Lonchura striata: one gene and its partners. The protein of the gene in region 2 purifies or fractionates together with the protein of the main gene of each other region. This does not show direct contact. Links are inferred from orthologs where the notes say so. Each region holds a gene or a part of one and is shown on either strand. Other genes may lie near its edges.

The links.
Region 1: the proteins of RSRP1 (region 2) and CPSF6 purify together in Homo sapiens (affinity purification with mass spectrometry; 3 studies listed by BioGRID and IntAct, with this or other methods). This does not show direct contact. The link is inferred for Lonchura striata from reciprocal best matches to the Homo sapiens genes RSRP1 and CPSF6.
Region 3: the proteins of RSRP1 (region 2) and C1QBP purify together in Homo sapiens (affinity purification with mass spectrometry; 3 studies listed by BioGRID and IntAct, counting the BioPlex papers as one, with this or other methods). This does not show direct contact. The link is inferred for Lonchura striata from reciprocal best matches to the Homo sapiens genes RSRP1 and C1QBP.

The regions. Positions count from the first base shown.
Region 1 is NC_134607.1:44,497,927-44,508,993, reverse strand, and holds the start of CPSF6 (cleavage and polyadenylation specificity factor subunit 6), read right to left. Parts: upstream 4,275-11,067; 5' UTR 4,198-4,274; coding exon 4,138-4,197; intron 1-4,137. UniProt on the Homo sapiens protein: Component of the cleavage factor Im (CFIm) complex that functions as an activator of the pre-mRNA 3'-end cleavage and polyadenylation processing required for the maturation of pre-mRNA into functional mRNAs.
Region 2 is NC_134628.1:590,292-600,538, reverse strand, and holds the start of RSRP1 (arginine/serine-rich protein 1), read right to left. Parts: upstream 3,917-10,247; 5' UTR 3,833-3,916; coding exon 3,762-3,832; intron 3,656-3,761; coding exon 3,600-3,655; intron 2,518-3,599; coding exon 1,981-2,517; intron 1,704-1,980; coding exon 1,549-1,703; intron 415-1,548; coding exon 331-414; intron 1-330. Other genes in the region: TMEM50A (transmembrane protein 50A), read left to right, coding at 4,690-4,782, 5,411-5,523, 5,651-5,718, 5,823-5,915, 6,326-6,386, 6,609-6,654; RHCE (blood group Rh(CE) polypeptide), read right to left, coding at 8,211-8,237, 8,500-8,573, 9,572-9,651.
Region 3 is NC_134622.1:4,783,265-4,793,491, reverse strand, and holds C1QBP (complement component 1 Q subcomponent-binding protein, mitochondrial), read right to left. Parts: upstream 5,069-10,227; coding exon 4,825-5,068; intron 4,263-4,824; coding exon 4,112-4,262; intron 3,727-4,111; coding exon 3,639-3,726; intron 3,076-3,638; coding exon 2,980-3,075; intron 2,365-2,979; coding exon 2,242-2,364; intron 782-2,241; coding exon 632-781; 3' UTR 370-631; downstream 1-369.

The DNA of each region.
Region 1 (11,067 bases), on a different chromosome or scaffold from region 2:
TTTCCATGGCCCCTTTCAGCAGAACTGACAAAATGTATACGCCATCACATGTTGTGGACATATTTTATAACACATGCAGGTCTGTCACTTTATGTTTTTTTCTGACTAGGACAGCCCTAAGGAGTAGAAATTTATTATACCACAATCCCCTCCCATGATAAGACACCTCTCTTTCTGATATAAAGGCTGTTCTTAATAACTGGCTTTAACTGGCCACTAAATGCTAGCTTTTATTATTTATCACACACAAAAAAACTTCCTTTGTGTTACAGATCTGAAGTCAAGACAGTAACTAACACATTACTAAGATACTGTAATTTTCAGATAATTAGCCTCTTAACTGTTTAGTCCATCTAAATCAGATTTATTACCCAGTTACAAAATACAAAGTGAAAAGTCTTTCATCCCTAATTTGTTAGCATTTAAAAATCAAAATAGAACACTACAGGCATGTCTAGACATATCCACAATTCAACTACCCAAGTTTACTCATTAAGAGCATAAACAAAGCAAGCACCTTTTCCACAGCATTAAAATATGATATGCTTAAATTCTTTTGCATCCTCTTTCTGACCAGAAAGATTTTTACATGTATACATGTGTATAATAAAAGTTTTTACTGTTTAACTACATGCATGAGGACATGTGGGGAAAAAATCCTCCAAGCATGAAAATGCAAAGCTGATTAGGGCATCAGGGAACTGGTAACACATGGTCAAATTTTCATGACCATAAAAAAGCAACCCAGTTTGCTGGCCAAACTGGCAGCAGCGTCAAGTCAGATACAAACTGGCCTTCTGCACAAGTTCCTTATTATCTCTGTACCACACAGCAATATTCTGGGGTTTTGTGTATAAAACCACACCCTAATATTTCCTAAAGCACTCCAAACTTACTGAGGGTAGAAGACCCTTGAAAGAATACCATCCCCAGCTATTTGTATGCAGGTAACAGTTCTAACAAGCGTCACAGATCTGCCTCTCCTGAAGAGCAAGATGTGTAACATGTAAGGAGATGCTTAAGGTAAAATATTCCATGCAATACCTATTTCTAACAGGGCAAAAGCAATGCATGCAGGAAGTACTACATTTATGAGCTATAATCTCAAAATGAGACTTTAAATAAATAGATAAGACTGCTGGATGGGGAAGTCGGCTTAGAAGAAAAGAAAAATGAAAAATTACTCAACCAAGTTCTCCAAGACAAAAAAAAGAAACCACAATTTAAACAAAACTGTAATTGGTCAGAGCCAAATTGACTAATGCTGTTAGCCCAAGAACAAAAAGTATTATTTTCATGAACAACAAGTTAATAAAAGAGGCAACACTGACAGACAATGAGGTTCAGCTGGAATAGGAAAGATGCATCTTCACTCAAAAGATTTTTTATCAAGTTTTGTAACCAAAACTAAATACAACCCATGACAGTTTATGGCTATCATCCATCTTAGCCAGCTTGTAAACCCATGGTTCTGTGGTCTTTATTTCACCTTTATAACCTATGGTTCATTTAGCACTAATCAAGCAGAACAACCTTACCCTCCACCTACTTGGAAAAAGGCATTAAAAAAATCCCAGAAGAGCCTCAAGGATGAGTACCTTGAGGTGTAGAACAAGACAAAATAACCAAGGGAAGTTTATCCAGTTAATAAGTCCTAAATCTAAATGAAGGGTTAACTCCAGATGCAAACACAAGTCTTGTCCCAGCTTGGGTATAAATACAGTTATGTACTGCATAGAGAAGAACAGCAAGCTCCACAGCACATTTTTCAGTCCCTGCCAAAACTAGTGGAAAGGGTTTCTATACTCCAATTTAAAAAATATTAGTACGTCACATTCATGTAGAACAACAAAATCAAAAATCAAGTTCATTTAACAGATAAAACCAATTTATTTTACAAATATGGTGTTTGTAAAATGCATAAATTGTAAAAATACAAAATCAAATTAATAATGGAAATCACTTTCTTCCTAAAGCATTTTTAACTGTCATCTTAACACATCCACATAATTCTGTATTATCCATTTAAGCTGTCAGCTTCAAATCAGGAACAGCACTTTGTTAATAAAAGTTTCTACACACCTTTTCTCAATGATGTCAGAATTAAGAGGCAGTAACTAATACAACTCTCTTTCACATATGACAGAAGGAAATGCCAAAGTGCAGAGGCATCAATCTCTCACAATTTTACAAAAGTAAAACTTTTATATTGTCTCCAGACTTACTCAGTTCAACAATATTACTTTAAATAAAAAGTCACAGAAATTAAATCTGGAAAATAACAAACAGCAATTTTTGGGGGTGTGTGCCACAGTCAAAAACACAGAAGAAAACCCCCTAAAACAAACAAACAAAACCCCCAAATTTAAGCTGATGGAAAAAGGGCAGTAGCCTCTTCTCACCTTTCTGCCCTGTATTTTGCAAGATTTATGAACTGAAACAACAAACTGCAGAAATGCAAACCCACAAGGGAAGCAACTGGAGTGAATACAGAGAAAAAGCAAAAGGGTTCCCTGCCTGCTGGATTAAGCTAAACTAAATTATCACAAGACTCTCTTCATTTGTAACACCATGGTTATATAGAATATCAACAGTAATGACTACCTGAGACCTAAGTAGACCAGGACCGTGTGAGTGAAACAGATCATCCCCATCACTTTTGTTCCAGCACTATCTCTTACAGCACATAACTATTCTACTCTGAGCCCTTCTGCACACATGAATTTACACAAACACTACCAGATTCAAGTGAGGGTTTTTTCTCTGAAAAATCTCCTTTGTTTTCAGTTTTATTTAGAATTGATTAAACCAAATTCAAGTTATCATAGAACCTCAAAAATGTACTCTTCTGCTGAATGGTGTCTGCCCTAGGGTTCATTCCTGTTTAAATTCATACAGTGGGTCTTCAACTGTAAGGGAGAAACCTTCACATACAGACAAAATAAGAGCAAATCAGTGCTTTTCATCATCTCCTTTTAGTATGGCACTCTTTCTGAGTACACCTTTATGAGATTATTAATACTCAGAATTACTGTATTAATCGATGTCTGAAGAAATAGTCTTCTAAAAAAGCTACAAGTTGCTGAGAAAGTTACATATTCCCTATGAATTCCAAAGCCATTGCTTATTTCCCAGTTCTCTGTAGGGCAAGCTGGCATACAGCCGGGCCCCGTAAGTTCCTGAAAGTGCAGTTGTTCCCGGTTATTTATGCTCTAGGGTAGGAACAAAGCAATTTGGGGCAACTCAACCTGGAGAAGTGCAGCACTCGCTAACAGGACAGATGGCATGCAAAACTCATACAACCATCGCGTTTAGGTAGGAAAGCTGGCACACGGCTGTGTGGTAAAGATGAGGGAAAAACACAAACAAAACACCAAAAATCCACAACAAAACCAAAAAAACCAAACACACCTAGAAAAAAAGAGGACTACTTATAATCCAGAGAAGTTTCATATTTCATCTATATTGCCTCAACAAAATATGAACTCACCCTCTAAAAAAGGCTTGTGTCACTTTTTAGAATGGAATAACAAGCAAGAAAAACAAAAAAGGAAATACAAAAAGCTGGATACTCTCTCCAGTGCTGCAGAATAAAGCCGCACTAGTTCCGCCTCCCCCGCAAAGCGCGGCCGAGGAACAGACACCGCTCGGCGGCTTTTCGATTCATCTACGAACAATGGCAGCGCTTCCCCTGCGCCCCGGCGGGAAGGGGCCGCTCTCCCCGCCGCATCCGGGAGGGCCCCGCCCGCCAAGCCGGCGCGGAAGAGCCCTCCGGAGCGGCCCTGAGAAAGAAAGGCAGAGAGGGAGGAAGGCTGGCAGAAACGGAACAGCGAGGAAAGGAAAGAAGGAAGGCGCTCGCCCCCGGCGCGCCCAGCCCGCCGGCACAGCCGCCCCTCAGCGCCGGGCGCGCTCCCCGCCCGGCCGGGCCGCCGCCGGCACCCGCGGCCCGGGCGGGGGGCCGCGCCCGCCCGGCCCCGCGCGGGCCCGCGCCCGGCGGCGGCGGGAGCGCCCGAACAATGGCGGCGCTGCGGCCGCCGCGCTGAGGGCCCTGCAGGCGGCGCGGCCGCGAAGGCGGGCGAGGGAGGGGAGCGCAGAGGGGAGCGCAGCGGAGAGGCCGCGCCCGCCGGCCGCGCGTACCTGGTTGAACTCCTCGCCCACATCGGCGTAGATGTCGATGTGGTCCACGCCGTCCGCCATGGTCCCGCCCGGGGCCGCCGCCAGCCGCGCCCGGCTCCCGAGCCGCCGCCGGGAGGGGGAGGGAGCGGGGAGGCGGAGCGGGCCGTCACTTCCGCGGCGGCGCGGCGGGGCTTCCGCCGGCGGCGGCGCCGGGCCGCTCCTCCCGCCCCGCCCCGCCCCGCCCCGCCCCGCCCCGGGCGCTCCCCGCCCGGCGGGGCCGCGTTGCTGCTGCCGCGTCCGGCCCGGCCCTGCTCCGCGCTGCTGGGCTCGGCGGGGCTGCGCCGGCCGCACCGTGCCGGGCGGTGAGGTCGGTGTCGGTGTCGGTGTCGGCGCTGCGGGGCGCAGGCCGGTGTGCCGCTCCGCCGCGCTCCGGGAAGGGAGCTCCAGCGCAGTCACAGCGCCTTGGTGCTCAGCAGCCGAGGCCTGTGGCTGTCGGCTGAAAATGAGCACCGCGCTGCGCCTTCAAAGCAGGGGCGCGCCGGGCTCCGGAGCGCAGTGAAATGTGCGGCAAGGACACAAAACAGGCACACGCCGAACTGCATTTAGCCACGGCTCTGCTGTGCTGCCGCAGAGCACTCTTTTTTAACGTCACAAAGTGAAGATAATTAATGTCAAGTCAATCGGGGTTCTTTCTTTCGGTGTTGTTTGTTTTTGTTGTGCATTTTGAACTGTTAGGGTTGCAGGACAGCTTCAAATTAATTTTGAATGAATGTTCTGTTACCCAGATCCATGTTTAAACTCCAGGTGATTTTTAGAAACATCTCCTGGTATATGAAGCGCAGTGCACATAATGCTCTACATAATAGGTTATGTTCTGCTTTGTACATTGTGTTCCACATCCAAAAATAAACCTGCTTTTTTTACTTTATCAAAAGCTGACAATAAGAAGCCTGTGCATCTCAGACTGAATTAAAATAATGTAAAAACATCACTGCAATGAATAAAAATGTTATTTTTAGCATGACTCAAGTTTTCTTGTTTCATGACTGGAAATACTTCACAGTGTTTGGATTGGCATCCAAAGTACTGACTTCATCTTGGGTCCTGGACCTGTGTGCAGATCATCCCTGTCTAGCAATCCCACACTGAAGTGCCCATGGAAAAGAAATATGAATAGACAAAAAAATAGATAAAAAATCGGAGATCCAAAACAAGGCATATGTTGTGGAGCGCACCTGCTGACAGTCTAGATAGATTTCAGATATGGAGATGCTTGGGTTATTCCTGGTGTCGTTATCCAACTGGTGAAATGATAAATTTGTCAGCTGCAGATCCTGTGTCATTCCTGCTGTTAATTCTGGAAGACGGAAAAGGGTTAAAGGGTTTTTATTGAAGTTTCCAGGTTAAATGAACTAGCAGATTGTGAGCCCTTTGGTAAAACAAAAACAAAAAAACAAAACAAAACAAAACAAAAAAACATCAAAAAAACCCCAAACATTTTAGAGGTGGTAGTTAGGAACATACAAACAAGGGATCTTAATTGAACTTCTAGTGTTGGTTACAATTGTGATTTACACTACTACATTTATCACAGGTTAAAAGTACATGTTCACATCTATGAATGCACAAATTACTGGTGAATGAAATGATTGACTGGTTTTGCAAAGAGAATCCACTTTTCTGGATTTCTCACAGTCCATACAGATGCTGTTAAAGTATTGAGATCTGTTTGGGTTCACTTACTTCCCTAATGGTGAACTGATTTAGTAACTAGTCTTCTAGAGAGTAAAGTGAAGCGCTGTGACAGTCACCACTTCTGGCCATGCTAAATAAAGCTGCTGAAATCAAGACAACCTAAGCCTTGCTATCCTAATGATCAGATTAAAAAATAACAGCAGATAGTAGGTCATATGCAATTGAATGTTTTATATTCATCTGAGTATTATCCATAGGTAGTTTAAAAAGGCAAGATAATAAAATATGAATGAAAGTCATCAGAACCACCTCAGGGATTACCACTAGCATTTGAACGATCTCGTGTGGGGCCTTTGAAGAGGCAGGAAAAAACATCAGCCTCTGCTTTGCTTGTTGTGATAATGAAGTGAAGCCCTTGGACCCCCATATGCTGTTTCATGCTCAGGAGTTTTTTCCACTTTGGAGCCCTTTTTAATAGTTTGACTTGCTAGATTTACTGTGCACAGTCATTTACAGAATAGATTATGATAATTGTTATTCTTGTATGCATATTACTAAGTAAATTCTGTAGGCAATGTAGGAGACTAAATATTATGCAAGCTGTTCTGTTCCATTTTTGTTGTGTTTTCATTCTTTCCATGGATAGACTTGCTAAATACGTCTTCCTCTTTCTTGTGGTCATCAATAGCTTCTTTGTGAATTACTGTGCCTCAAGGGAGCAACTTCAGGGTTGGTCTACTCCAGTGAAAATATTAATGCTTTATGTATTGTACACATTTAAATTATTTAAACAAAATGTTCCATCCTTCACCCAGTAAAATTCAGGAGGCTGGCTGAGGTGAAGCAGGGCTTGAAACAGAAATGTGATCATTAGATAAAGAATTCTTGGCAGTACAACATGGTCTTGGCGAAGTGTCCTCATAAGTTTTGTTGGGGACAGCAGGAGCCACTACGCATGAAGTAATCACAAACCTTTCAAACACTTAGCCCACCATGGGAACAAATGGCAGCAGATGAACTGGTGTCTTCCTTCAGTTCTTCTTTCACACCGTGGGATGTTCTGTCATTTGATGATGGCAGCTGGAACTCCCTTAATAGCAAAAGAAGGTGGGAAAGGCACTGTAGCAGTTCTACAAAGGAAGGTAGCCTTCAAGTCCCTCTTTCTCATGGATACACAAAAGCCTATTTACTTGTATATCGTTCCTTTGGTCTCTTGAGCTGTTAATGATGCAAATTCGGATATAATCCTCATTTTGAACATAAAAGCAGCAGTTGGTTCTCTGAGGATCTTGTAACATACATCTTGTTAGCCAACAGAACTCCCCATACCTTCCTCTTCAAAGCATTTCAGACCATTTTCTATTAGGATGTTCCTGCTGCAAGACAAAGGGGAGGAGAGCTATTTTACCAGCCCTTTGTATTGTATGTGATTATCTCAAAAATACTTAAATATATTACTTTAGTTAAGAATGGGAGAACCAGTTTCAATATAATAATGCTTTTAAACATTAACCTATTTTTGCCAGTATCAACATGGCAAAAATATATATTTATATTTCGAAAAATAATTTTATGTAGAATTTGCCTGAGGAATCAAGACTGAGAATAGTGCAGGATTTTTCAAATGGACTTTTATTTCAATATCAGCATAAACTGTTCTTGTAACATTTGCAAAAAGCTAATCATAAAATATGCATTTTTCACAATGCAGTAATGTTGTAGGCAACAAAGTGAAAAGATAAGCTATGAAAAAGTGCTGTGTTAATCAGGATAGTACTCAAAATCAGAGGAGACCTCAGCTTAGTTAAGGAGTGCAGTGTATGTTTTGTTATATAAACTTATGTCCTAGCTATGTCAGTCCAATTGCAATGACTGTTTTGTTTCTTTACTTGTAGACCTGAAGGCTTTGATCTTTCCAAATCCTCTTGGAGCCACTCTGCATGCCCTTTTATTGTTTTTCTCCCAGTAAAATATCCAAATAGTGAAAGCCTGTACACTAAGCTGTAAGAAATAGTTTTTTCCACTTAAATGCCTTAGTTTATAAAAGTCCACAGACAAAAATGTGAGAAAAAAAAAATATATTCTAAATGAGATGGCAAATAGGCTCAATTCTGCATATTTGCTTTCAGAGGCCAAAATTTCAGGTTTTGTTAACTCTCGTGTAACTGCAGGCTGAAATGAAAAGAGACAATTGTGTTCCCAACAAAGGTAGCAACAGCCTGTGCTGGGAAAGAGGGAATATTACCTCATCTTTTGGTTGCAGCTCACAGTTAGATTGGATTAAGTGTAATATAAAACTGCATCCAAAGGGCATCTACAAGAACTCCTACTGACAGAGCTATTGTAGGAAAATAGCTGGCATTATTCATCGCTTGCTCAGAGTTGTCTTTTTATAGGTATTCAATTGTTTTGGGATCATACATGTGAGCATTGTGCTCCATCTTTTTTCCCCTCTATAAGTGCCTGTCAGTCTACTGATTATCTTGGTTCAGCTGTTCACTCTGTGGTTCAGAGCCAGGTTGAAAATGGTGGTTAATCAGGATATGATTTGCAAATAGTATGCATCTTCTAACCCTCAAGGCAGGAAAGTGTATTAGAGAAGGTAAGTATAGTGCAAAAGGTGATAATAAATTCAATTGCCTCATTTGAATCCACTTTCATATGAGCTGCTAATCAGAGAGCTCAGTTACCTTCAGAAAAAGTATGAAATTGAATTTCCAGCTTAATATTACATCCTATTTTTGATAGCTTTGCATTCCCTTGTTTAAAAACCTGTCTCTAAAATTTCATTTTTACCCTTAAGACTGTCATTAATCTATTTTTTCCTTTTTTCAACTCCTCTTCTAAATTGATTAAAACCTCCTAAACTTGTTAACTGCATTAAACACATCTTTCTCTGTATTGGCTATATGCACATACAAATAAAGGAACAGCACCACAAAGACCACTTTAGGATGCTCTTTGATATTTCAAAGAATTTAAGCTCAAGGATAACTTTGTTACATAGTTTCTGTGTACTTCTGATACCACGAGTCACTCTGAATTTGGATAAAATCTTCACTTCACTTAGTGCTTTGAGCACAGGCTGGCTGGCACAAGTCTGCACTCCAGGCTCCCTCTTTGTCAAGCTGAGCTATTTAGAGTTCCAGAGAAGAGAAGCCTCCTCCATAATATTCAGGTTTGGTATTTTTTAAACTTGAACACTTCCAGATTTCAGGAGAGGTAGTATCTATCATTACTTTGCTATAAATAAGCCGAATGAGTCTGGAACTGGAAAGCAATGTATCTTACTCAAAGAGCAGGCCAACATTCTCACTCTGGCCCTGATCCACATCTCTGCAGGACTGCTGAGCGATGTTCACGTGAGCACTTCACAAGGGTCAGAAGGGACATGCCCGTCCCCTCTGTGAGCTCCTCACTTCTGCTGTAGGGATGGGACTGCAGGTCCAACCCCTATCCCACTGCTGGGATTGCACCAGAAAAGCTGAGTGTCTCATTTGTGTCACCAAGATTTTGAGGAGAGACTGTCCCATTTGTACCACTGACCTTTTTTTTACCACTGCTGGGGTACAGCAAGGAGGTGCAGCAGGATGGGCTGTGCCAGGTGCCTTTGCAGAAGTGCTATAGGGATCAGGGATCACTCTCATCTGCAGCTTTCATCGGGACCATCCTGCTGCAGAGACAGCAGAGAAGAACAAATGGTCGGGTTTTCCTTCCAACAATGCCTAAGAGTGCCAGGGACATGAAGCTGCACAGATAGCAAGGGGGTTTGGTCTTGAGGATACTGCAGAATAAATAATCATTGTAAGTCCCATGGCAGCTTCTTTCTGCTCTACAAATCAGGAGCTCACCCTGGAGGAGAAGCTATCAACTGCTGGCCTCCCCATAAAACAATTATGTGTGCACTGATTGCATTGTTACAGGACAGGTGTTTAGATTTAAACACCACAAAGGGAAGTAAATAAGCAGAATATGAATCTATGAAAGCCATGTGCACTGTTGAGCTGATACCACCAGGCTTACTGTCAGAATACTTGTATGTCATACAGCAGAGTTATGGTTTCCCAAGCCATTCTCAAGGCCTGCTTCAGCATTGTTTTCATGGGTCTGAATAGGACATCCTTTTGCTATTAACAGCTTAGTGGCAGAAAAGTATTCCTTACTCTCAACAAGGTTAATTCTTTAGGAATTTTAAGGGTATCTTAGGAATAAAAAATGTGCATATATAATAATTAACTTCTGGCATAGAAGGTCTCATTCTGAATTAGCCCAAATTAATTTTGAGTTACAGAAAATACACAAAATATTCATAAATACTTAGCATTTTCCCAACATTTTAAATATGAATTTATTATATAATTTACAAGTATTATGATTTAATCATTAACTCTCTCTCTGTAAGTTAGGTAAGAGTACCATGATATTTATTTTAATCAAAAGGAGACATTTGAGCTCAAATTTCCAAAAGCACCCACTGAATTTGTGAGAATTGGACATCTAGAGTGTCAGTCATTGCAGTATCAGCAGTAGTCAGGAAACACTGGTGAAGTTTAGCATCTTTTTATACTTGAGTTGCTCAAAATGAATGGACATTTTAAAAAATATTGATTTTCTCTCCCTGCAGGTGTGAGGTCACAACATATCATTACTAAAGAAAAACAAACTAGAAAATTTCAGAATTAGTGGAACAACACCTCAATCAATGAAAACAATCACAACAAAAATGCAGTTTGACTAATTTAAAATGCAGGTAACTAAATATAAACTCCTGGTTTGTGCCTGGAATCCATTTGGGATAACTGAAGAGGAGCAAACTAGAAGAACAGTTGGGAATCTATTAGAAGAAAGATCTCATCCTAATATTAATCTGATACTTTACTGCAAGAGAAAAAAACAGTACCTATAATTGGAATTTTGTTTTATATGTTTGTCTTTATTACTTTTCTTTATTTTGAAGTAGAAATATATATTTTTATTATGACCTGAGCACATATATATTAGGAGAAATGGAGAATTTCACAGACAAAAATAAAGAAATTGTATCTGAGTTTCAGGTAGGAGTTATGTCTCTGTCATACATTTTGCATTTAATTAAAATCAGACATGAAAGGATAAAAAAAAAGAAAGAGAAAAAAAGCAAGACATATCAGAAAATGTGGGGTTTAGTCAGATATAAAATGGCTCTAATGGTAGTTTCTATGGCAACTAAAAATGAATGGTTCTTAAGATAAACTCAGTATTTTTTTTAGCAGAGGC
Region 2 (10,247 bases):
AAGAAAAGGTGCTGGAAACAAGGGGTTTATCATATAAATCATATAAATGTTTTCTCTCCAGCTCCTGGAATTCGTGATGCTTATACTAGGTATCAATCCCATGCACAAAACACAGGAGAAATCCCCAAATCTTAAGTTTGCATTACTAAAACATGAAACTCGATATAAGCTGTGTTTTAAACTAGTTCTAGTTTTGAATTGTTCGGGTTGAAGGTGAACACTTATTTCCAACACACTGCTGAGGTGTATCCAGGTGCTCTACCAACTCCTGCAGGGATATCATGAGCAAACATTAAATTCCTGTCATTACTCAGGGATTCCATCACTCACATTAGGGCTGAAGGAAATGCTCCTCTGGATGGTTGTTCTCTCCATGCCAGCCTTGCTCACGTCCTCAGCTGCACTCCCGGGTTGCTAAAGAAGAGCAGACACAGCTTAAGAGGGGCTCCCTGGGGCAGGGCAGGAGTCAGAGCAGAGCTCTCTGGGACTGTTCCCTATTTCATCTGAAGTGGCTGTGAAGCCACAGCACGGCAGGGCAGAGCCCAGGCAGGGCAGAGCCCGGGCTGGGCTGGCAGCCTCTGCCCAGGGCAGCTGTGCCAGTGCCAGCCGAGCTGCTCCCGTGCCAATGGAGGCAGCTCCAGCCCAGCAGAGCCCAGAGAGGACCCAAGTCACAGCAGAAGCTGCCACAGCAGAGTGGTGACACTGCACACCCATCCTGCAGGGCTTTGGAGAACAGTAAACTTATCTGCAAGGGATGCAGGCCTCTTCTTCTGCACTCTCTCAACATCTGGAATATATTGCATATGTTTATGAAAGGGATGCCTGCACCGTTTGTGTCAAACCCTCAGCAAATTCACGTCCCTTTCCACGAGCAGCACCTGAGGCAGGCAGTGGCTGCCTGTATTTACTGTATTGTATTTACTGTGCCTCAGGGTAACACACCACGACAGAACCAAACTAAAATTCACTTTAAGCTGCTCCAGTTTCTCCCTCCCTTCAATTCACAGCAGCTACAGCCCACAAGTCCCTTAATTACCACCAGATTTTCTTCCTCATGTCTGGAACCATAGTCATGATTTCTATAAGACAGAAATAAAGTATGTAAAATGCATTGTGTGCTTGGGTATGGAATTTCTGGGAAACAGTTTGTTGCACATGAAAATCTTTTAACAGTTAAAAAAGGCAGAAAGATTTAACCTTAAAAAAAATAATCCCACACTATTCACTAGGTTTGGCAAGGATACTCCTGGTTTTAGGTCAGAAAGGCATAAACTAGTGGAATTCATGGGAAATATCCCATGAGGAGAACAAGTCAAAGGAACAAGTCTCCTCCCCTTCCCCAGCTGTCCCTACTGGACACTCAGGGGATCAGCCACCTCAGAGAGGGCCTCTGCTGCCAGCTTAGGGCAAAGCCTCGAGGTTTCTGGACAAGTTTTTGTTCAGGAGTTTGAGCTCATAAAGCACAAGCTCCACAGCTGAACTACAGCACAGCCATGCAGACAAGTCTAAGAGGTGTTTACCTTGTCAGGGAGAACACTCCATACTTACCTCAGCTGACTCCGTGGCTTCCTCACGCGCCTGCTTCTCAGTTTTGATCTCCTTGGCAGGAGCAGAGATCTTCAGGCTCGCTGGCAAGACAATGTTGTCTGTTCCCAGAGCTTTGGCAGCATTGGCTTTTGCAATTTCCAGCAGTTCCCTCTTGTCTAGAAGAGGAAGGAAGAGAAAAAGTGCTTTGCGTCACATTAAAATCCACGTGCACCTACTCAAGCCTAAATCCTGCAGGTTTGACATCCATGCACTCATCATCTGGGACCGATCTCATCACAGCCTGCCCCCCTGTGCCAATTAATGTTCTGAAGAACAATCTTTATTAAAAAACCGAGGTTTTTTTCACTTGCGCTTTTCAAACCAAGCAAGCCGAGGAGAACCCGCCTGGCTCAAACAAAGCCTCTCTGCGGGCTCTCGCAGAGCCCCAAGTACCTTTTTCACTGAGGTGCAGAGGCGACCTGCTCCGCGAGCGCGTGCGGCTCCTCCAGCCCCGGTAGGCCTCGGGGTAGACGCTCCTCCCGAAGCCGTAGTAGCGGCGGCCCCGGGAGCGGGAGCGGCTGCGCGAGTAGGAGCGCCGGTAGCAGGCCCTGCCGCGGGACCAGGAGCGGGAGCGGCGCCGGCGGGGCCGGTAGCGCCGGGGCCGGTAGCGGCCACGGTAGCGCCGGGAGCGCGAGCGGCTGCGCGAGTAGGAGCGGGAGCGGCGCCGCGAGCGCCGGGAGCCGTGCCGCCGGGAGCGGGACCGGGAGCGGGACCGGGAGCGGCTCCAGCTGCGCGAGGAGCGGCTGGAGGAGCTGCTGCTGGAGCGGGAGCTGCACGACGAGCGGCCCGAGGAGCGGCTGCAGCTGCGCCGGGACGAGTCGCCGTGGCCCGGCGAGCCCAGGCTCAGGTCGTCCATGAACTCGGTCACGGCGGCCGTCTGCCCTTTCTGCGCGCCCTCAGCCGCCGCTCTGCAGTGCCCCGTCTCTGTTCCTGTGGGGGGAGAGGGAAGGTCAGCGTTCACGGGCACTTCCTCAGCAACAACAACCGCGAGTGAGGCCAGGGATAATCCAGCACCCCAGCGACCCCCGGCCATCTTCCAGTGACACTGAACACTGCAATTCCCTCTCCTGAAGTCAGCCACAAAACTGAAATACAAGGAATGAAACACCCCAACGACCCCCAGCCATCTTCCACTAACACTGAACACTCGCCTGCAGTCAGCCACAAAACTGAAACACAAAGCTGTGGGAAAAAATAAAACTTTCAGTTTAAACCATGAGTAGTTCTGCATGGAATTTTGGAGAGAGGTCTGTGTGGGTTTTAAGTTTAATTCCTTGCTCAACACCTTTTTTTCCCTCCAAAAAACAGGAAAATCTTGACATTCTTGAAAAGAATTTTCCAGGTATTTTATCATCCTAAATACACAGGATCCATTGCTTTTATGATAGAAAATAACCATTTACTTTCCAGCCTAGTACACATTAAGTTTTTTGCTACAATTCCTCCTCGTTGGATACTCCAAAAGGGAAAACGAAACTACCTTGTAACTGTAAGGCAGCTGAGATGTTGCCTGTATCTCGCTATCAAACTCGCGGCACACAGCTGCACACATCCAGCAGTGCACTCAACAAGCTGCTGCTAAAAACGCTCCGTGCAAAAGCCGGGAGATGATCCAGCGGCCGTGACTCGCACAGGACACGGCACTTACGTCTCTAAATTAATAATTAAAATGGCTGTCCCTGGAGTGGCAGCCATTTTATGGCTACAAAGGTTACCCGGGGTAGGGATCTTATCACAAGACTTAAGCCCAGAGTTACGTAACCAGTTTAGGGCAGCTTGCTTGGACACGGAATTTCTATTTAGCGCTCGGCGCAAAGAGAAGCTCGGCAACAAATCCAACCCGCGCACTGAAATCTGATTAAAACTGAAGTTGCGGGAGAGTCGTCAGAGGCGCTTCTCTAGCTGAAGTTTCACTGTTTTATCTGTTCGCCAGGAGCAAGGTCACGGAGCCGGGACAACAATCAGAGAAATGAAGCCCCGGGCCTGCCGAGCCCTCAGCGCCCCTCACTCACCGCTGGGCGCCGCCGGGCACGCCCCGCGCTGGTTCCCCTGCGGCACCTGCGCGCTCCTGCGAGGAAATAAAAACCGTAAGAACCCACCGTGAGCGCCCCGCAGCCCTCAGCGCCACCGCCCTCTGCCCCCGGCCCCGGCCGCGCCCCGGCCCGCCGCCTCACCGGCTCCAGCCCGCCGGGCTGCCCCCGCACGGGTCCTGAGGGGAGAGCCCCGCTTCGTGAGTCACGCCCATAGCGCCGGGCCCGCTGCGCCGGCCGCGATCGCCGACAGAACCGCGATAGAAGCGCGACACAGCCGCTGCTGCCGCCGCCGCCGCCGCCCGCCGCCGACTGAGGGCGGGCCCCGAACCTTCCAGAACGTCCCTCCCGTTACGCAACCCGCGCGCCCGCCGCGCACGCGCCGGCCCCGCCCCCCCGCCGGGCGCCGGCCCCGCCCCGGCGCTCCTCGGGACGCGCCCGCGCTGCGCATGCGCGCGGCCGCCGCCGCCGCGTCCCGTGACGGTGCGCGGGGAGCGCGCGGGGAGCGCGCGGGGCCGGGGGCGCGCACGGTGCGGGGGATGCGCGGGGGTGCGCGGGGTGCGGGGACCGGGGTGCGGGGGGTGCGGGGGATGCAGGGATCGGGGTGCCAGAGATGCGCGGGGTGCTGGGACAGGGGTGCGGGGGATGCGCGGTGAGCGCCTCGCGGGGTGCGGGAGCGGGGTGGGGTGCGCGGATCGGGGGTGCGGGAGATGCGCGGGGTGCAGGGACCGGGGTGCGGGGGATGCGCGGGGTGCTGGGACAGGGGTGCGGGGGATGCGCGGGGTGCTGGGACAGGGGTGCGGGGGATGCGCGGGGTGCGGGGGATGCAGGGACCTGGGTGCCAGAGATGCGCGGGGTGCTGGGACCGGGGTGCGGGGGATGAGCGGTGAGCTCATCGCGGGGTGCGGGAGCGGGCTGCGGTGCGCGGAGCGGGGGTGCGGGAGCGGGCTGCGGTGCGCGGAGCGGGGTGCGGTGCGCGGATCGGGGGAGCGCCGGGTCCCCGCCGCGCTGCCGCGGTTCCCCGCGCGGACGGAGCTCCCGTTTCCTCCCGCAGTCGCCGGCAGGCAGAGCCATGTCCGGGTTCCTGGAGAGCCTGCGGTGCTCCGAGTGCGTGGACTGGGGCGAGAAGCGCAACACCATCGCCTCCGTGGCCGCGGGGGTGCTGGTACGGCCCCGCCCTGCTCGCGGTTTTGGGGGTCTTTGGGGCTTTTCTGTCACAAGATAAAAACGATGAGCGGTTTGGGAGGCTCTCCTCCAAGTGGGAGCATGAGAGGGAACGGCCTCAAGGTGTGCCAGTGGGAGTTTAGGTTGGATAAAAGGGGGAATTTCTCCACTGAAATGGCCAGGCATGCTGGAGTCACTGCCCTGGGAATGTTTAAAAAACACGCGGATGTGGCGTTTGGGGACACGGTTCAGTAGTGACCACGGTGGGTTGGAATGGATGCTTTTAGAGGCCACTCCCTCCTCAGCAATTCCAGGGAAAGGAAGAACAGGGATACATTGTCCCTGTGTGTAGCAGCAGAGTTGCTGACAAAACCTGGCCTGGTTTCCTCCGTCCGTTTTTTGTTTAAATTTCCCAGTTTTACCCAGGAAGTAACTGCTGGAGTGGGCAAACCCCTGGCTTTGCAGTCAGCTTGATCCCAAACTGACAGCAAAACTGATGGTGTCACAGTTTAGTCTGGGTTGGAGACTGTACGGCTGTTTAAATATTTATGGTGTTTTTCCAGAGCAATCTCACAGGCTGTGTCTGTATTTTAAGCTCTGTATTTTAAGCTCTTCCCCCCCCACTCTAGTTTTTCACAGGCTGGTGGATCATCATCGATGCTGCTGTGAAATACCCTCAAGTGGAAGACTTCAACCATTCCTACCACGCCTGTGGGGTGATCGCCACCATCGCCTTCCTGATGTAAGGAATTCCCTGCCCCGCTCCCAGCAGAGCAGTGAGAGTGCAGAGGAGAGCTTTAATGCCACTTCTGTCCCCTTTAGTGCCCCTCCTGTCCCCTTTAAAGCCCCTCCTGTCCCCTTTTCCCCAGGATCAACGCCGTGTCCAACGGGCAGGTGCGAGGGGACAGCTACAGCGAGGGCTGCCTGGGCCAGACAGGTACCAGGGCTGGGCTCACACCCCTGTTTTGGGGTCTGTGGGGTGTGTGGGGTGTGTGGGGCCGGGTGCCCCAAGGGTACAGGACATCCCCCATCCCATTGCAGGGGCTCGGATCTGGCTCTTCATCGGCTTCATGATGGCTTTTGGGTCCCTCATTGCCTCCATGTGGATCCTTTTTGGGGGCTACGTGGTTAAAGGTAAGAGCTGACCCTATTGTTGGATGTTTAAGGTGTTTTTAATGACTCCTGGATTTTAGAGTTGGTATTTAGAGGGTTTCTAGGCAGGCCCAGTTTGAACATTTTGCCCTACTCACCACTCTGCCATATTATTACAGATATTGGGGTGGATTTGATCTAAGTACAAACTTCCTCTACAAAACCAGCTCTTGCCCAGCTGGGAACTCCATGGATATAATTAAGCTGCTGCAGTTCTAAGGGAATAATTCCCTGGGTGAACAGTTATTCCCAGAATACAAATTACATTGCAATCCTGCAGATTGCTCCCAAAGCCTCTCTGCTAAATTAGCACAAGGGGAAATGACATGTCAGAAACGGGATATGCTTGAAAATTACTTTAAAAAGTTTTATGGGGATTTTTTTTTTCTCAGAAAAACCAGTGGTGTACCCAGGAATAGCAGTGTTTTTCCAGAATGCATTCATCTTTTTTGGGTAAGACTGTCCTCTTTTATTTGTTTCCTATTTAATTTTAATGATAAAAAACCTGAAACTTGCTGTGATCTGGTTGGTCCTAAAGTCCTGTTTTGTAAGCAGACCTGTGTGAATAACCTGGGATCTGCCTGCACAGGAACTGGATTAACAAATCCCTCTTGAAACCCTATTTTTAAACAAGAGGAATTTGATTTGTGGTGTCCCTTTGCTGTGTTTCCACAGGGGCCTGGTGTTCAAGTTCGGCCGCACAGAGGATTTGTGGCAGTGAACCCCCCTGGAGTGCCCTGGGCTTTAACTGCATCCCCCAAAGTTTTGTAAAACCATTTTGTAAACCTTCCATTGTGTCTGAAGAGAAATCAAGGAAAGCTGAAAGCACTAAATCCAGCTCTATTCCGGTTATTTTTTTTACTCTTGTACGTCCACTTCAGTGTTGTGGTGTTTTTGAGAAATGTAAAATTGCTACAAACAACAGTGGAGTCACTTTTCTAAAATGATGTTTGCTACAAATAAAAGGAAAGTGGAATATGGATGTATTTAACCAGCTCTTTCTATGATGTTATTTACAATCCAAGACTTACTAAAACTGCATTTAAGCAACCTTTTAACAGATATTTATTAAATATTTCCTATATCTGGGCAATATAACCATTTATTCAATTTCAAAACTTGCTGGTGTCTGGCTTTTCTTGTGTAATTCAGAATTGTGGTGGTTTGGGATTTTTCTTCCCTGAACATTTCATTTATCCTGTGGTGATGAAGAGGAAGTGTCTGGGAAGTAAACTCACAGTTTGTGCAGAAGGTTTGGGCAGCTGCTGAACTGCTGGCTCTCTGGGAGCTGGGAACGAGGCAAACTGGCCCTTCCTCTGCAGGCCTGCATTCCTTGGGAGCTGCCTCCCTCTGCAGCTGCAGGGATCTGCTCAGCAGGGAGTGAATGAGGCCAGGGAGCCTCAGCAAAGCACTCGGTCACGAGCTCCCCCATTCATTCCTCCCAGGCTGCTGAAGGAAGAGAAACAGCCACGTTTGCAATCTTTTACTGCTGCAAAGTTTTCTGTGTCAGCTGGTTTTGAAAGTAAGAGACACTGAGGATCACAATCCACTTAAAAAAAGGGTTCACTAGCAGAGAATCCTCTGTCCCCAGAGTCCCTGCACTTCCAAAATGCTGGCAGCACTGAGGGCCATCCCCTGTGCTGGGCCAGACACTGCCCTGAGCTCAGTTTGTGTTTTACACTTGGCAGCAAACCTCAGGGGTTCCAGGAACACCACCCACAGCTGAACTTTTGCCACCAGAACCTCCCAACATCCAGCCCCAGCCAGATTTTTCCAGGAGCTCAGGCTGGCAGGATGCAGAGTTCTGGCTCTGCTCCAGCTCACTCATCAAATCCTGGCCTGTCAAGGCCTTCAGCAGAATCACTTCAGCTTTTTTAAAAACCTGAGTACCTTGCTAGATAAGAAGAACTCCTTGAGAAATGACACTTTCAAATCCATCATTTTGCTTTGTAAACTCTGGAGCTAAAAATAGTTTAATGTTTCCAAGCACTTGGGTTGATAAGCCACGAATGCAGACAACTTTTTTGTGCATGTCTTCTAAAAAAGTATTTTAAGGTAAGGCAAACAAAGCAGAAAAGCTGAAGTTTGCATCTGTGAATTCACACTCTATCTTTCAAGAATAACTGGAACAGTTTAGTTTTTGAGTGTCCATTGGGGTGGCTTTTGTGGGCCTGGGAATTGGTATTTCAGTGCTCTTTGAACTCATCATAGCTGTTCAGTTTTTCTGGTGATAAAGAGGAAAATCTTATCTTGGTCCTGTCAGCTGAAATCCTCCACTCAAAATCCAACAGACAAGTGGGGAAACTGTGAACACAAACATTCTGGTATCAGAACATATCAAATCATCACAGGAAAACCCCTCAAAACAGTGGAAAAGCTGGTTAAAAGCTTATTTTCACAGCCTCACATCAGCATCTAAGGGTGCCCAAGGACTGTGCATCAAAATGTGCTGGGAAAAGGAATAACCCTTTATTTCCCCATATTTTTAATTCAAATATCTGGAGTTCTTTATCAAGATGCTAAATGAAGTCCCCCACAGCGAATCTGAAATAATTTTGAAACTCACCTCCCAGTAAAACTGGTCATCAAAGTACTTTGAGACATGCACTGCTTTCAGCAGTTTGATGTTTAAGATTAAACCTGTTGTTAAAGAGAGAGAGATGCAAAATAAACACCAGGGAAGGGGAGGATTTTGTGTAATAGGAGTTTCTTGGCAACATTTATCCAAATGTAATGGATCAAAACACAAATTCAGACCCAAATCCTCCAGCAGAGCCCCCCTGACCCAAGCTGGCCTTAAATACAGAAAGAGGCTTGCCAGGATCAAGGCTTGGGATACTAAAAATGAATTACTTTAGGTAAAACCCCATCAAACAGCTGCTAGATTATGAAAATACATCAAAATTATTAATTTCTTGCATGAGAAGTGCCTGTGTATTATTTATCTGGTTTATCAGCACTGTTAGTTTGGGATCTCTGGATTTTTGAACAATTGGTTAAACACTGAATGTTTGGTTATTTCAGCTGGATGTTTTCTAAAGATCTATTCGTCCTTCATTACACTTAAGTAATGCAAAGGTTTAAATAAATTCAAACATTCAAAAAATCATTGTAGGGTGTGTTTCCCAGCAATTTTCATTGGCCATTTCTCTGTTGCTCCAGACAGAATTAGGGGCTGGGGAAAAGCAGCAGCTGCCACAAACCAGAGCATTCCATGGGAGCCATGTGAGTGCTGCTGCTCCCAAAGCAGCAAAAAGTCCCCAAAATCCCAAAATCTCCTGATCAAAGGGCTGCAGCTGGGCTGAAGCAGCTCCTGATGTTCCTGAAACTTTGCACATTTGCTCCAAATGGCCTAAAAAGTGACAAGACCCAGACTGGGGCATCTTCTGCCAATAAGACAACACCCAAAAGTGGAAGTATTTTCATCTTCACACCTCTGCTGTCTGCAGGTTGAAGGCAGCTGTTAAACCTGGGTTAAAATAAAACTTCGGCACTGAAAGAATGGTGCTGCTGGGTTATTTCCGTGCAAAACAGCTCTGGCTGGGAGGAGTCCCTGGCACTCATGTTTCCATTTATTCCACAAGTGATTTACCCACAGAAACTTGCTCAAAGGAAACAAAGGATGTTTCAGTACTGACCTGTAATGAAACCTGTTATCAAGGCAGTGCTGATGGTCTGACAGAAGGCACCAATATAATAAAAGGCAGTGTAACCCAAACTGGAAAGCAAAGTAAGTGTTTCAGCTTTTATTTAGCATTACCACTGTGAATGAATCTGCATCTATCAAAATCTCTCATAGAAGCTGTAATTCTCAAACCTGCAGCTGCAGTGAGATGTTTTAGGAACATACCAAAAGCCTAATGGAGATTTCAGCAGATTTGTTTTGTCCACCTTTTTGGTATTAAAACTTCATTAAATTTGTTTCATTAAGAACGTGATGAGAAGTGTCAGGGAATTATTTCTGCCTCCCTCCTAAGCTCCCCAAAACATCCCAGACCCTAAAGGGAGTCTTGGAGGGAGGCACATGTCAAGCCTTCATCTCCTGTATGTGCTGTATTTAACATGAACAAAAAGGGAAACAGAAAACAGGACCCAAAGGCTGCTCAACTCTCAAATCAACTCTCAATTTCCTTTTTACTGACTTTTTTTTTTTTTTTTTTTTTTTTTTTTGTACTTCAGGGGTTATCTTGGGTTACCTGATAGAAAACAATGTATCTGTGATGCCGTTCAGGCTATCTGGATGTCTGACAACTCTTCTCAGGGCACACTGCAGTGCTGATTATTTCTCTTCATTATTTAATACAAGAATTGATG
Region 3 (10,227 bases), on a different chromosome or scaffold from region 2:
AAGACACTCCTAAAGGCGTAGTATTGCCTTGACCTGCACTTTTAATCACACAGGACATGTTTTGAAATAAATATATTTAGTTTATTTTGGCCTTGGTGTTGTCTTAAATACTTAAATACATCAGTGATCTCACAGCTCATGTTGCACTTCAGCGTTCTCTTTGAGTTTAAGTGAATCTTAAATAAATAAACTAACTAACATGAACTTAAAACCTTCAAATAACAATTGGAGGCATCAGTTTAAGTATGAAATACTCAACCATCACTGCCACAACTACTCTGTGAGCAGCTCTGGCACAGAGAAACTCTACCATCACGTTCATGGCAGCACTGGTACAGCAGGAAGAAGAGAAACCACCTTTTTCACTGATATGTTGAACAGTTTTTATTCTTCACATTCACTCTCAAATTGTACAAAAAGCCCCATGCAGGGCGAGGCAATTCTGGCCTGTAGCATCAGAGAACTTGGGGCTGCACCATCACTACAAATCTCCAAATCCAAGGGAGAATCCTTCTCCTCCACCTTCCAAGTTACTTACTCTCTGTATCCACTGTGAAGATATATTTGGGTATTGCTGGATGAAGCAGCACTGTGGAATACCCACACTTGAGGCTAAATTTCCTAGCCTGACCTACTGACATTTGACAAAGCTTTTAAGGTCTTCAAGGAATTTAATGTACTCCTGGTGCTCCAGGGCAGTGCTGAGCTCTACTAACTCGTCAGCAAAGGTGTTGTCCACTCCTCGGTCAGCCAGGAAATCCATCAGGTGATCGTAGAGAGCCTGGAGCAAGGAACAGAAACCTTCCTTAGTGAACACACCTGGGGAGGGGGTGGATTAAAATGTCCCCTGGAAACTGGCACTTCCTCCCAGGAAAATCAGGCCCAGCTCCCACTGATGCCTTTCGCATTTTCCAGATTCTGTACTGCATTAGTGTGTGACTCTGAACTTCAGGAGTGTTAGCAAGTTCTCCTCACAGTTCAGTCAGACAGAACAATCCTTTTCCAGCCTGAGAACCAAGGACACCATTGCAGCTTCAGGCCCAAAAAGTGCAAACAACAGGGAATTGAGAAGAGCAATCTGGGAGAGCAATTTGGGACTGCATCACCAGGAGAATTGGACAATGAACCCCAATATGAAAATGGACTAAAACTTATAAAAGTGTGAAAACTCCTGACTCATCACCCATCTAGGGTGCAGCCCTGGCTGGGCTCTTGTCCTGCCCAAGGTGTATCCTTTAAGGCCTTTTAATAAATCCCTATTTTATTCCTTTAACACTGTCTAGCCTCTGTTCTAGGCAGCCTCTAAGGCACCACCACAGAGGGCAGGCCTGACCTTGGGTGGAACATTTGGACAGAAAGGGCCATGGAACACAAAATAAAAACCCAAACCCAACTGCAAATGAGCTGCACCCTGGAGATGATCCCCAGATTGTGGGAGCCATCAGGGGAGCTGTGCCAAGGATGACACAGGCCAAGCTCTGCCTGTCCCCTCTACCCCGGGGTGAACTAATGCTTTGTAAAGGTATCTGATGTACAAGTTTGTTTGGAAGGCTTCAGTGTTACAGTCATGAGCTTGGCTTTTTCCTTTCATACACATTTTAAATTAATTTAATATCTTAAGACACGGGAAAAAAAGAATAATCAGTGTGGGATGGTCTGCAGCACACTAAGCAATTTTAACATGGATGCTTCTCAAGGGGATACACTCTAGGACTTATTTCTACTTTCAGTTTTAAACACGTGACAGCCTCAAACTAAAAATTGTAGCTTTTTAAATCCTGGCATTGAGAACATAAGAACAGACAGATTCTACTGTGTATTTTTAGTGTTACAACTCTATCAACACACCTGGAAAACCAAGACACAATGTATTTTTTCAGACACCACACACAGATGCTTTTATCTACACATGGTGTCTGATAAGCCACATTGTTAAACACACAGATCAAAAGACAAGTGTCAAAGCATTTCCAGATCGTGATTCCCTGCTGGGAAATCCACCTATAAAATCTGGAAGGGAAGGAGTTCCTCCTGTCTGTCCTGATTCCTGGTAACGCCAGCAGCAGTGCACAACCCTGGGACCAGGAAACACCTCAGGCTGCAGCAGAATCACCAGCTCAGGGGCAGAGCAGGGCCAGTCCCTGTCTCAGACATCCAGACAGGTTTAATTCCCAACCCAGGAGCAGAGGACAGCCAGGTGGGGTGAGCTGAGTGCCCTCTGTGGCCTTTAGCAGCACCTACCCAGTCAAGGGAATCCGTGTTGAGGGTGTAGTTGGTGTCCTTCCAGTCAGCTTCTCCAGTGGGCTGGAAGCTGACCTCCCGAATTGTGAAAATATCACTTTCTTCCTCTCCTTCATTTCCAATCTGAGGCAGGAAAACAAATGCAATTAGCTGCAATTACTGGGCACTAATGAGCTCAGCCAGCTCATCCCCAGGCTGGGAATCCCTCAGGAAAAGTCCCAAGGCCAGACAAGCTTTCCCCTCTCACCATGTGCCTGTGAGGACAAGCACAGATATGCACAGAACTCAGGAAAACCTCTAAGCTTGTGCTGCCAGAAGGGACCTGATTTAAATCAGCAGCTCGAGGTTTAAAAATATATAAAAACTTCTTCCGAGTCTTCCCATGTCCATCTCACCTTTAACAGCCAGGACTGTTAAACATCTCCTAATGTTTACAAAATAAACCACAAATACCAGTGTGAGCAAAAGCTCTCGATTTTATTTTCTTCCCTCCTTTTTTTTAATCCCTACTTCTCTACTGTAATTCAATAAAGAGCCCAATAAGGGCTGATCAGAAACACCAGGGCAGGATGTGAAGAATGCCATAAACATTTCCTCCCCACTATTCTTGCAAACTTAAAACCTTTTTTTTTTTTTTTGTGATTAAGAGAAAAAAGAAATAAGAGGAGACTGCATATTGTGCTGATTCAGAAAAGCAAGAGATTACAAAGAGCAGTTAAATCCAACAGGGGCACTCACCTCATCTTCAGGGAAATGGCAGTCAAGCACAAGGGTCTGTTTTGTATCATCTTTTATTACTTCCACAACAAAATTTGGAGTTGATGTAAGTTCAGGCTAAATAAGAAAACAGTTGCATCAGCACTTGAATCTGAACAGGAGCCAAAGCAATCACAGCACAGCCCTGTTCTGTATTCCCTGACACCTTCCACTATCCCAGGTGGATCCAAGCCTATCCAACCTAATCCAGGACACTTCCAGGGATGGAGCAGACACAACCTCACCACCCTCACAGGGAACAATCTCTCCCAATACCCAATTTAGCCCCACTCCCTATCACTTAAAAGCCATCCCCCCATAACCTGTCATTCCATTCCCTTGTACAAAGTTTCCCTCTCCCACTCTCCTCCAGACCTTTTTGATAGTGGAAGGTGCTAGAAAGCCTCACAATTCCTCTAACTTCCCCTCACAGAGCCCTCCCATCCTGCTCTGCCTTTCTGCAGGGGAGAGGGAGGTCAGGCAGGGGACAGGCAGCCCTGGAAAATCTGCATTTTGTGCTTTAATGCTCCCAAACATCACATAAGCCTCAACACTCGAGGACAAGATTCCAAGTTCCCTAAGGCAAGATTCCAACTTTGGTCTGTGTCCCCAGCATTTAAAGCACATCAAGGCTACGTTACCTCCTGCTCATCAGGCTTCTGCTGTTCCTGTGTGTCTTCTTCAGCCGAGGGTGGGATGCTGTTATTGATGTTGAATGTAACCGTTATCCTGCAAAAGAAACAGACACAATTCTTTTGAACACACCCAAGAAACGCCCATCAGAATGGGTCTCTCAAGCCCTCATTCAGAATTCGCAGTGTGAACAAAACCAGGCATTGCAGTTAAAAGTCACACCTGGGAGAAGCTGCTCCCTCCAAGCGCTCTCACTTTTTCAAGTTTTACTGAACTGTTATTTCTAAAACGGGAAGCCCGTGAGAAACTTTGTAACACAAAACACAGTAACAAACCGGTGTGGGAAAAGCGCCTTTGGCCCAAAGTGGTCAAACCAAGAGCGTTTGCAGGGCACAGTTTGGGGAGTGAGCAGAAGGAGAAGCCTGGTCACTGTCACCCACCCGCCCTCGGGTGCTGGGGACCCTTCCCAGACCCCACTCACTTCTCCCCCGCGATCTTCCGCACCAGCTTGGCCTCTGTGCCATGGACCTCCAGCTCCCAGCCCCCGGAGACCTTGGGCAGGGATTTGTGCTTCTGGATCTTCTTCTCCTCCTTGATCTCGTCCGTCAGGAACTGCGCAAAGGCTTTGTCTCCTGGTGGGAAAGAAAATGAGGTTAGGGAAAGGGAGGGTTATGGAGAGGGGGAATGAAGGAATGGGGTGGGGGGTGAGTTGAGGGAAAGGGGTGTTGGTAAAAGAGGTGTTGGAAAACAGGGTTAGGAAAAGGGGGCTAGGAAAAAGGGGGACTAGGGAAAGGGAGGGTAAGGGAAGAGGGGAGTTAAAAAAAGGAGGGTTAAGGAAAAGGGGAGTGGAGTTAAGGGAAGGGCGAGTAGGAAAAGGGGGGTTGGAAAAATGGGGGTCTGAACGAAAAAAGGAGTTAGGGAAAGGGGGTTTGGGGAAAAGGGAGTTGCGAAAAAGGAGGTTAGGGAAGGGGGAGTAGGGAAAGAGGAGGTAGAGAAGGGGATGTAGAGGAAAAGGGGGCTTAGGCGATGCCGGAATTTAGGGAAACAGGTGGTTTAGTGAGAACGGGGATTAGGGAAAGGTGGAGCTGTCTTAGGGCTGTCGGGAAAGCCCCCGCCGCCCCACGTGCTTCCCAGTTCGGAGGGGGTGCAGCGCACGTGTCCGCCCCGCGCCCTCCCCGCTCCGGCCCCGCTCACCCTCGGTGTGCAGACCGCCGCAGCCGCAGGACACGCGGCCGGCCGAGCCCCGCCGCGGCCGCAGCAGCGCCGTCCGCCCCGCGCCGCCGCCCAGCTGCCACAGCGAGCGCGCCGGGGCCGGCGCGGCGGCGGGCGGCGGCAGCAGGGCGCGGGGGAACGCGGAGCTGAGCGGGCGGCGCGGCGCGGGCCGCGGCGGGCGCAGCGCGGCGGCGGCGGCGGCGCGCAGGGAGCGGGCGAGGAGCATCGTGCGGAGCGGGCGGCGAGGAGTGCCCGCCCCGGAACCGCGCTCCGCTTCCGGCCCCGGCGCGCCCCGCGCGGCTCCCGAGCCACGGGTTCGAGTCCCGGCTCGGCCGGTAGGGGGGCCCGAGTCCCGGCCCCTTGAGACCGGGTTCGAGTCCCGGTCCCGGTGAGGAACCAGGTTCGAGCCCCGGTCCCGGTGAAACTCCCGGGTTCAAGTCCCGGCCCCGGTGAGACACCGGGTTCGAGTCCCGGTCCCGATCAGGAACCGTGTTCGAGTCCCGGCCCCGATGAGGTACCGGGTTCGAGTCCCGGTCCCGATGAGACACCGGATTCGAGTCCCGGCCCCGATGAGACACCGGGTTCGAGTCCCGGCCCCGGTGAGACACCGGGTTCGAGTCCCGGCCCCGATCAGGAACCGTGTTCGAGTCCCGGCCCCGATGAGGTACCGCGCTCGAGTCCCGGTCCCGGTGAGACACCCGGTTCGAGTCCCGGTCCTGGTGAGACACCGGGTTCGAGTCCCGGCCCCGATGAAACACCGGGTTCGAGTCCCGGTCCTGGTGAGACCCCCCGGGTTCGTGTCCCGGCCCCAATGAGACCCCCGGGTCCGAATCCCGGTTCCGGTGAGATCCCGGGTTCGAGTCCCGGTCCCGCTGAGATCCTGAGTTCGACTCCCAGCACGGTGAGACCCCGGGTTCGAGTCCCGGTCCTGGCAGGATGGAGTGTGCCAACGGCGGACCTGGTTCCTGGGATCCCTGACAATGGAATGACCAGGGATGGCACAGACAGCACCCAGACAGGAGTGAAGGCACAATGAGAGTTTTAGGAATGTGGGAGACATGCACGAGTTTTATCCCAGACATCCTCCCACTCCTAATTATGACTGCTAGTGTACAGGCCAGAGCATGGCAGTCTCCTCAGAACAAGAAAAATGAAAGAGTATTTTAGAGGAAACAGTGACTAAGGCAGTGTTTTCTGGCTCCAAGTCTTCCCTTTGTCAGAAGCTGGCACTAGTGCCCGCTATTGAGAAGCACAGAAGGCTCATTTGCTGCTCATTGCAAGGCAGGAGAAGGAAAGCATCTGTCCCACCCCATCAAAGGACCAGAATTTTAATTCCCAATTCCCCACAGGAATCTGAGCACTGCACATGTAAATGGCAGAGTCCATTCTGCACAAGAAGCACAGATTCACTGTGCTACCTTCACATCTTCAAGCCCAGACTGCTGACAACGAACACACTCCCATGAGAACCATAAACACCAGGACTGTTCCTATGATCATTTGTTCTGTGCCTCACAAAACAACACCCAGGATTGGGATTTTCACCATCACTTCTTTATTCTGGAAAAAACACATAATGTAAATAAATACCCATCCCGTTCCTTGAGGTTATAAAAAACACGGTTATACATCTATCCATTAAATTTTTAGAAAAATAAGTCTTTCAAGGCGGAGCTGAAAAAGCCAGCTGGTCCCAGGGTCAGTTGTTGGCCATGCGGAGCTTCCTGCGGAAGTACTCGGGCGCGGCCTCGTGCAGCCACTCGGCGTCCACCACGCACAGGTCGCGCATGTAGCACCTGCTGGTGCGCAGCAGCCCGGTGTACACCACGCAGGCCGGCTTGGCCTGGAACAGCACCGAGGAGGGGTGGATGGCCACCGCCTGCTGCGAGTCCACCGTGCCGTAGGAGCCGTCCGGCCGCAGCTCGGCCGCGTTCATGAACAGCCCGTGGGCCAGGCAGCGCCGCACGCTGCCCGTGTCGCCGCGGCACGACTCGAGGGGCATCGACAGCTGGGAGAGACGGGAGTGAGCCGGGGCAGCCTCGAGGGGCACAGCCCTGCTCCACTGCAGAAAGACTGGGGGATTCTCCTGGGAGAGCACGCTGGGGGACTAAGGAATTCAGCTTGGGGGGATGCTAGGCTAAGCCAGACTAAGGGCCAACAAAATGGATCGTCACTCTCCTGCTGGAAGTGAGTGTAAGGCTGACCAGCTATAGGAAATCAGGTAACCCCCAACGGGAAGAAATTATGATGTCTGGCTCCAGATCAGAAGGCTGAAGGACCTGCTTTATTAAGACTATATTATATTACATTAATATACTATTTAAAAAGATACTACACTATTCTACATACTTAGTTCTTACTTCCCTATTAACTAACAAACAAACAAACTCGTGACTCTGTGCTGAGAGCCCAAGCCACAGCTGGATCCACTGGTCACTGGCCCTGAACAACCTTCACCAGAATCCAACCCAGCAATCACTTCAGATAAACAATCTCCACACCACATTCCACGTGGGGAAAATTAAAGGAGCGGAGATAAAGATTGTTTTCTCTTCTCTCTGTGCTTCTCCTGAGAGACAGAATTGTGTCTCTCTGTCCAGAGAATGGGAATGCCACAGACCAGCATTCACAAATGACACCCCACAAGACCCCATGTCACTGCAGACTGCCAGGGGTTCAGTGGCAGCTCCCACGCTGTGCCCAGCAGGAACAGCACTGAGGGGAAGCTGCTGCCACACTGAATGCCTGACTCCATGGAGAAGCCAGCCAGAACAGGCTGCCAGCACTCTGTGGCACAGACAGCACAGTGCCACCTGCACTAGAGCAGGAAAAACCCTTAGGAAAACTTGGTCCTTCCCTGAGAAGTCTTCTTAAAAGTTCTCATTTCTCCTTGACCCACTAAGCCCTGCAGCTTTAAGATTTTAGAATGCAACTGCACAGTCAGGAATTTTAGCCAGCTATTTACAGGAGACTGAAAACAATCCCCCATTTTCTCACTCTTTGGGACTTGGTGCACAGTAACATAAGTTTGGGGACAAACAGGAAAATACCAACAGGTGAAACAGAGAAATATGGAAGCAAGTTACCTTTATACAAATGTCCCTGAGCTGAGCTCTGACTTCTGCCATCAGCTTCATGTTCCTGCCATTGATAAAGTTCTCTCTGCACCATCCCTGCAGCAGAGACACCAGGAGTTAGAAGGGGATATTTCTTCACCTCAGGAGCATGACAGCCTTTAGATACTACAAAAAGCAGAATCCCCTCTACAATCTGCCTCGGAGAAAACGTGCTGACCCCCTTCCTGGTCATATTTCTACCTCCCTTTACTCCACTATGTCTAGATTCCCTCCCACTCTTCTCAGAAACAGCAGGTGGTGGTTCTTTTCCCTCTCAGAGCTGCTCAGCAAGGCCACCAAGAGCTGCAAAACAGCCCTTGTTATCCTGCAGGTGATGAAAATAAATCAGGTAAGAATGTCAGATGTTGCAAGGAATGGGGTACATGAGTCCACAGATTCACAAATCAGTGAGGGGTTGATGAGTAGGATAAACCCAAATCTACTTTTAAATATGCTCAAAGTTTTCCCAATGAATCCTGTCCCAGAACATGTCCAGATATGTATCATCAAATCTCAACACTCTCCCACTCCCTTCTGTTTCCAGCTGGAACCAGGAAAGGAAGAGCCCTGGCTGTGATTACAGAACTGGCCCCACAAAGCTTTGCCAGAGCTTTCTGTAGGAACCTTTGTTACTGAACTTCCTCCAATCCCAGTTGTAAAGGATGGGCCCTCTTTTCTCTCTGCTTTGGAGGATGGATGCCTGTGGCACCAGCCATGGAAGATGCAGGTGTCAACTCTGCTCTCTGCCAAAATCCCCTCACCCCATGAGCTCAGGCAGCTCAGATCATCCCACCTTGTGCCCATTGACATTCTTGTAGGCCCTGTACACGTTGAGCAGGGTCAGATGATCCCCCTCACTGGAGATGAATTTCCTCCTGGCAGCCTGCACCTCATCCCGCTGGGCAGGGGGGTTGTGGAGGACACTGTCCACTGATAACAGTGACACGATGGTCAGGATCTCCTCTGCACAGTGGAACTTGGGTGACAGGAGGATGGCCTGCGCAGACACAACAAAATTCATCTTTGGCTGACCAAATCCTCTTCAGCTGGGCAGATCTTTCTGCTCCCTGGCAGTCCAGGAACTCCACCAAACATTGTTTAGGGCAATCTCATAAACTGAGCCTAAGAACAGCTGTAAATCCTCTGATGGGTTCACCAAGCACCTTTAACACCTGCCAGGCTCCTTCCTGAGACTGACCAGTGCACAACCAGCACAAACACAGTGAAAAACCAGCTACAGCAACAGACATTTCATGGACCTGCCAAACAATCCTGAAAATTGCACACAAATTTGTCTTGTTCACCTTCAGAGGTGCCAGAGTAAAGAAAGTCTCTTTTAAAAAACTTCCCTAAATTTAACAACAAATGACAAGCAAGCCAGCAAAAGGGCTGTAAATTATGTACATTAATGTACAGCAAATATACCAGTAGAACTGCAAACACCCCAAATTTCACACCTTGTTTAAGGAGTTTGAAAGAGAAACATCAATGGTACAGAGATGAATATATGAGATTTAAAAAGTTTTGTTTTTGTTTGGTTGGTTTTTTTTGTTTTTTTTTTTCAGTTTTTACCTTGGAGAACTTTGGATCCAGTGGAAAGACTGCCATTTTCTTTCCCAAGGGGGTCAGGACAAGCTGACCTTCCTTGTGGGTCACAGCCCCCAGCAGGTCCAGCTGATCAATTGCTGCTTGAATAGCATCTGTCAAAACAAGGACTGTGAGGCCTCCTGCCTCCCACTGAGGGATGTGAAGATCAGCTGGTTCCATCACTGCCTCCCTCCTCTGGCCAGAGGGACAAGTATTTTCCATTTAGAGAAATGTAGTTTATCCTCCTCTATCCCAAGAGAACAAGCACCCCATTTACTCTTCCCCTGGCAGTCAGGGCACACCTTTATGTTGTGTTGTTATGACACCTTATGTCCCTGCTCTTTTCCCCAAGGCTTCCTTTGTAGCCACTTACCAGGAGATGGTTTGGACATGAAGTCAAAGGTGAGCACATTGGGAATTTTCAGGGCCAGGAGCTGAAGCACCACACTAGCCAGGTTACACCTGCATAGGCAGAATAAACAACTGAGACAGTTCTCTTATTTTATTCTTTTTTTTGTAGAAGCTGAGATAGAATCTCAGGTCTGTGCTGCAGCTTGACAGAGACAAGTCTGATGCTGCTGGTGAAGCCTTACTTCCTAAACCAGGAAGAGGCAAGTCCAAACTCTGGAGGACAGTCAGAACTATTGCTTTAGGTGTTTGGAGACTCAGTGCCCAACTGCCC